2 linked regions of the Bombyx mori genome follow. The protein of the gene in region 1 purifies or fractionates together with the protein of each later gene. This does not show direct contact. Links are inferred from orthologs where the notes say so. Each region holds a gene or a part of one and is shown on either strand. Other genes may lie near its edges.

Evidence for each region. Proteins that work in one complex are often made in the same cells at the same time.
Region 2: the proteins of RpL14 (region 1) and RpLP2 fractionate together in Homo sapiens (co-fractionation; 3 studies listed by BioGRID and IntAct, with this or other methods). This does not show direct contact. The link is inferred for Bombyx mori from reciprocal best matches to the Homo sapiens genes RPL14 and RPLP2.

What each region holds. Positions count from the first base shown.
Region 1 is NC_085117.1:13,508,919-13,511,829, forward strand, and holds RpL14 (ribosomal protein L14), read left to right. Parts: upstream 1-1,558; 5' UTR 1,559-1,597; intron 1,598-1,607; exon of another isoform or gene 1,608-1,791; intron 1,792-1,820; 5' UTR 1,821-1,826; coding exon 1,827-2,324; 3' UTR 2,325-2,401; downstream 2,402-2,911.
Region 2 is NC_085122.1:11,211,485-11,215,744, reverse strand, and holds RpLP2 (ribosomal protein P2), read right to left. Parts: upstream 2,870-4,260; 5' UTR 2,710-2,869; intron 2,321-2,709; 5' UTR 2,320-2,320; coding exon 2,148-2,319; intron 1,143-2,147; coding exon 1,021-1,142; intron 596-1,020; coding exon 590-595; 3' UTR 540-589; coding exon of another isoform or gene 469-539; 3' UTR 459-468; downstream 1-458. UniProt on the Homo sapiens protein: Plays an important role in the elongation step of protein synthesis.

The sequences.
Region 1 (2,911 bases):
GGTCTAACTTAACGCCAATGCACATTATTTCATTTATTTATTTTTTAATTTTTTTAATTAAACTGTATACCAATTAATTGCTCCTTCAGGATTTATATTTGTTTTTTTTTTCACGATTAAAACCGCGTAGAAAGTTTAGGCATTATAGTTGACGCATGCGCAGTACACATATTTTGCATACATTTATTCAACTAATAAAAATAGTAAATTAAACAAAAAACGAGTAATTTCGAAAGAGAACAAACGTGTTTTATATAAGAACAATCGAAAATGAATATTTACGAGTCATTAAGGATGAAAAAATATAAAAAATTGCATTAGAGGGGCTAACTTGTAGGTATATTTTTAAATATTTTTTTAAATAAATAAATGCAGAACAAACAATTATTAACAGTGAACAATCATGAACAAATGATGAACAAACGAATTAATAGAGAATAAGTATAAAATAGGAAAAAAAAATTTTTTGAGGGGCTAACTTCATTCACCTTGTATAACACGGTCACTCACATGCGCACGAATACGCAAACCCGTAAGTGTAGGACGACATTTGCAAATGATTATGCAAAGTTTTCGCTGCATTCGTGGTTTTCCAAGCTGTGTCGGTTTTTTAACAGACATCAAAGCGCGCGAACCTCGAACCTTCGCGTAGTCTCCCACACATTCGCTTGCCCAGTTGCGCCGACGATTGCGAAGTAACGGACGTATCGCCATTTTCATAGTTCGTGACGTCTACTGTGTAGCGTATCTTCATCAAAAGGAATCCCATAAAACAGCATGGCTGTTAATGATGTCTGGGAAAGAATTCAAAACTCTTTTTCTCTTCAATATTCTATTGACGAATTAAAAAGGAGGAGAAATTCGTGAGACATTCGTAAACAAGTGTTTAAGGAAGCGCAAACGGGTTCGCAAATTGAGTATGCGAACCCATTTGCACAGCTGCTAAGTTTGCGAATGAATGTTTGACGGCCCTTCACATGCGCGCAAACATTTGTACAATGTATGAATATTGCCCGCATGTGAGTGGCCGGCAGTAATAAATAATATTAATAAAAAGTGTTTTTCTCGCGTCTGAGCATTTCCATACCCTTCAGAAAAAACGTCAGTAATGCAATTTGGCAGACTTTTTGGCGGGAACGCGAAGAGTGAAGTTGTGTGATTTGTTTTATTTTATCTGTTTAGAGTTTCTTCAGGTTTAAATGCATAATAACGGTGGTTTATTAATTGCTTATTATCTGTGAAAGTGCACAAATATGGGAAAATGAAACAAAGCCGCTGGACATAACTTCTCGGGATCCTCCAAAACGTCAACTGAAGAAGTCTCATTTTATGACCACTATTTTACTGAGATTATATTTCATCCCAAATCATCTCATCTGATCTCATTTTATTTCATGCTACGAATAAATAATAAATCTTATTCGTAGATTTCATGCCATGTTTCATATTATACATAAAAGATTAGGCGGTACGGTATGATGCTTTTGCCTTTTCAGTTGGAAAATAAAACTACTATTACTGTCAATTTGACACATCAAGACACAACTCACCGGAAATTCTTTTTGAGAGTACATTGTTTGTGTTAAGACGTTGTAAGGTTAGAAATTATTATAATCTGTTTAAATCATGCTTGTATAAAACTCAATTCGATAATTAAATACTAAATAAAGAAAGAAATATTGGGTAGCTTTTGAATGTATAATATATTTCTACAATCCACCGAAAAGTACACAAAATGTTTACGTGATTTTTTGTTGATAGTGTTTGAGTGCACAAGTTAGAATTAGTAATGTAAGTAACAATTTATGTAATTGTTTCAGAACGTCATGCCTTTTGCACGGTACGTAGAACCAGGGCGTGTCGCCCTGGTAGCCGACGGTCCCTTAAAGGGAAAGTTAGTGAGCGTGGTAGACGTTATTGACCAAACTCGTGCACTGGTTGATGGACCCGGCAGTGGAGTACCTAGGCAACAGATCCGCTTAAACCAACTCCATCTCACAAAATTCCGCCTCAAATACGCGTTCACAGCCCCTACTCGTCTTGTGAGGAAAGCGTGGACAGATGCTAAACTCAATGAAAAATGGACAGAAAGTCAATGGGCCCAGAAGTTAGCGAACAAAGAGAAGCGCGCACAAATGACAGATTACGATAGGTTCAAGTTAACAGCTGCACGAGTTAAGAGGAACCGTGCCAGGACTGCCGTATTCAAGAGCTTGAAGGTGAAGGCTGCGCGTGCTGGTACCTTCGGCAAGAAAAATATCCCTAAAGCGGCTGCGAAAAAAGTGCGCACCAAGAAGGCGACCAAAAAACCAGCTAAGAAGTAATTGTTTTTGTGTCTGCGACAGGTTATGTGACTAAGACAGATTTTAAGAAGAGAATAAAGAATTACTTTTTAGCTTCATTTATTGTGTTATTGTTACATCCTTGTGTACTGTCCTAACCATGCAGTAGTAGGTGAGTTTTGTTACCATAATGCAGCAGTGGTATTTTATTTTTACTAAATTTTCTTTTTGTTTCAGTTAATAGTGGCAGTCCAGTATTACAAGTGAGTAATAACTTTAATCATTAGTTTTTATTAATTCTGTAAACGATTACTGTGATGATCTATTAAATATAGTCTCGTTCGTATGAACAAAATATGATTATAAAACACCACATTACTGAATAACAGCACTCTTTTAAATGTAGGATACAAGTATTCCTAAATACTTAATCAATTGTAAATTGTTACAGAACAAAATGTATACATTCGCTTCTACTAACACTGGGGAAAAACACTCGAGTAAGTATAATCAGAAAAGAAACTGATTACCCAAAAATAGTTCTCATTTAAAATTTAATTTTGTGAATGTTCATTCTATATTGAGGATCTAACATTTTTGAAACTTCAAACTAACTAGAACAATATCAG
Region 2 (4,260 bases), on another chromosome or scaffold:
AATAAAGTTCAAAATTGTTATCTATTAAAAAGCCCCTTTTTTGTAGTTTTTCAAGACGTTCATTCAAGTCATAATGTTGACTCCCTATTTAAAGATATAAACCACGCAACCACCTTACAAACTAATTAACCCTAACGTTAAGAGGATCATACATTGAGCAGGTTCACTCGGTAGACCAACAGCTCAAAGTTATTGAGTTTCTTGTACATCATGATTTTCAAATTATTTTTTTTGTTTGGACATTAAAAAATCCTGCCAGTGTTTGCCATAACTATTGCTTTGTCTGAATGACTACTAATTTGTTGAGAGGTCTACCATTTCAAAAAGTCCCAAATTGAAGCTCAATTGGAAAAATAATCCACAAAGTGCAGTAAGAACATGAGAACAATCAATCATTCCATATATAAAAACATCATCTAATATTTTTATAAATCTATAAAAGTAACTTATATACTCACTTTGTAAAGTTTAGTCAAAGAGACCGAAGCCCATGTCATCGTCAGATTCAGAGTCTTCTTTCTTCTCCTCTTTCTTGTCCTCTGTAATTCAAAGTCGAAGGATTAGACAGAGAATTCAAAATTGGTATAATTTACTTCTGTTTTCAAAACATCAGATAATAAGAATGCAGCACTGTTTGATCAGTCGAAAGATGGTGTTGATTTGAAAATCATCACATTGAATTTTCTATTGCTAATAAAATTAATAGCGTTGGGACTTTATTTAATCTTTTAGTTACATAGATTACTTATTACATAACTATAGGCCAAGTTAAAAAAAAGGATTTTAATTACATTTGAAGCTAAATAAAATAGCTTAAAATTACTCATAGGTGTCATAGACCTGTAGTGTGGTCTAGAGACCACATTTGGTTATCAACATTGTCAGTCACAAATTATATTCCAGCGATTTTAATCAGAATATGCAACTGATTCTCCACCAAAATGAGTGAAATAGTACCTAATTACAGAAATTATCTACACAGTTTCAGTATTGAAATAGTCCTGTCATTAACGACGTTACATTTTTTATCTTGATTTTGAAATTACCTTTCTTCTCCTCAGCAGCAGCAGCAGCTGGGGCAGCTGCAGCAGCCGCTGCAGGTGCTCCGCCTCCTACTGGCATTGACGACAGCTTCTCACGTCCTAAGCACATAAACAACATCAGATATGCACAACAATCAACCTCTTTAGAGTTATAAAAAAGGAATATCAGAATAGTAGATAGCATCAAAGTCATTCAGACGAAAGATGGTGTTATTATTATTATTTCATCATTATAATCAATATAATCATATTACAACCACAATTAAGTTACAATTACAAGGTACTAGGTCACTAGTACTGAATCAGAAAGATCGTGGATTAGATGTAATTAATGGGAGTACATGATTTAGAAAATTCAGTGCTTATCATTGTCGTTTCTTTTGATATTGTTTTGTGTAGTTTTAATTTTCAGTTCTTTTAATAGATAGGTGGCAATAGCCCTACCTGGTAACTACCGGAACTAATGGATAGATATGAAATTATTACACCCACCTGTTGAAATCAGGGTGCTATTGTGTAGATTTTCATAAATCATTGATTGAATTAAGAAAACTCTTAGTTCCGCAGACTATTTTCTGTTTCTAACTTTAATGGCTAAAATATTCAAGGTAGGTAGAGTGCTTTTAATAACTATTAAACTTTAAGTAACCAAAATGTGAGGTCATTTGAATGCTTCTAATAAAATTAAAAATTACAATACAGGAATAAAATCCGTACCAAAATTAAATGTGAATGTGTGCTTGTTTGTCCTTATTTGAAATCGAAACGAAAGCATCAGATTAACTGGATTGTTTTTGACAGTATTGGGTCAGGAGTAAAATATGTTCTTTTTTTATCCCAAATAAACATATTATTCCCACGAGTAGCTACACTTACACTTTTTTTACTGTGACAACGCGGGCTAAGGTGCAAGTAACAACTATTACAGTTAGTATTCCGGTGGTACATTCTGCGAAGCACTGCTCTTGCTAGGGTCAGTGTTAGCGACACTCCGGTTTGAGCCCCGTGAGCTCACTTACACATGTTAGGGCGAAGCTGAAAAGGCCTCTCAAGGCTAACAGCATAGGTTTAAAAAAAAAGTAGTAAATTATATATTTGACTTACCGGCCGCAATAAGTTGTTCAACATCCTTGCCGTTGAGCTCAGTGATTACTTTCTTAAGCTTCTCAGCGTCAGCTTCGATACCGACGGAGCTGAGGATCTTCTCAACGTCAGCGGCAGCTGGCGTGGTCTTGCCACCCAGCACAGCCAGTAAATACGCGGCCACGTAACGCATTCTACAACACAATAGATTTTTAAACATATTATTGCTTAGAAAATAAGATTTGTAGTTGTATTTTTGTTGTACATCGTTAGAGCCTAAGAAGTTAATGGGTAGTTTGTCGTCTTTGACTATGTACGCTATTACTAATAAATAAATTAACTTATGGTGCAAAACTATGTTTATCTTCGTTTGATGGATTGGAGTATGCACGATAACCGTAAGTTAGTTTTACCTTTACATTCATACACAACATAACCTCAACAAAACTAAACAGCAAAGCCCGCGTTTTCAATCGTTTTAAATCACTATCAAGATCAAAGAATTCATACGATAATCAGGAAACGCACACCGCTCATATTAATTTCGTTAAAATAAAAACAGTATTTTGCTATTCAAACTTACTTTTAAGTCCTAATTGACACGAAACGTGTAATGCCGAAAGAATAACGTTCGTCTTGAACAAACGTCAACAAGTAAGAAAGAACGATCCACAAGGTTTCATTTGACAGTTACGTTGTCTATGACAGCGTAGCGATTTGGACCTGATTTTCAAAACAATCGATTCTTAAATCGATCTTTACAACAAAAAAACAGTGATTTTATTTGAAACTGTTTAAAATTGAGATTAGAATGGAGTAATACTTTTTCAAATAAAACGCAACTCTAAACAATTTACAATTATGTTGGAATCGAACATGTAGTTGTATATATGAATATAATACGAAGGAAACTGCTGGATTCGTATTAGTCGTGTAGCCATTATTAAGTTTTTATTAAGGATGAGAAATAATTCTTTTTCTAACTCTCTGAAGGCGTTCAACTAATTTTAAAATTATTTCATAATTCAATAAGAAACCAAAAAGCTTTTTTGTTTGTTAAATTGTTATGTGTTACGTTGACTGAAATTTAAATATTTGCGCCCTGATAAATTAACTCTTGTGTGATGTGAGTTATTGACTCGTGTGTAAGTAATTTAATGTTTTCCTGGTAAATAAAAGCTCAAACTGTTCGAATAAATTCTTCACCCGTCTCAAGCATAATTTTAATGTGAATCGGTTCAAATCGATTTAAAGATCAATCGTTTTTGGAAAGAATCAGCATTCCTAGTTCGTCAGCTGTCATTTCTCAAAACATATTTTTTTTATTCTTTTACCCATGTACAAGCAAAGGGCACATATTGCATACATCCAATCCAGTCAACATTTATTTTATCTGACAGTCATACGAAACCAGATCTGTTTACAGATGTTGAATACTCACTATTATTACAAATTTAAATGAGAACAAATTCAAAAAAGTACTATATCTTTTGTGTTCATTTTTAAAGCACTGATTTCTTTAATATTACTGGCCATACCAATTTTAGTAAAATCGACACTCAACGGCTCTAATAGAATATTATGTTATTGCAAAATGTAACGTTTTACAAATAGTTTCCCAGTTTACCAAAAGGTGCCACTATATGAAAATATTTTGTTAGGCCAGGGTTAGGCCTTTGATAATGCTAAAAAGTGAAAATGATTGTAGTAGGATGAAACTCATTATAAAAAGACGAGAATATAACAAAAATTAAAGGAAAAATAATTTACGGGTGATCTGAGGTCGAGAAGGGGGGGGGGGTGAGTTTTAAGGGTAAAAACGGTTTATCTCGATTTCCGGAAAAAACTACAATTCCTATGGAACAAAATTAAATGACAAAGTTGCAAATAATAAAAAGACCTACAACTTTTGTGATTACACTTTTTCATATAACCTCAAAATTTATGTGAAAAATTCAAGAAATCGTATTAATAGGTTGGGAAAAAAGACTTTTCGCATTGTAGTATGTATGAACTTGTAATAAAATCTCTTTGGCTATATTAATTGTATCTGGCTGGTTTTGCTATCATTAAAAGATTAAATATAAAGAGGATAATTACAAAATCAAATTAGGAAAATGTGTGATTTATATTT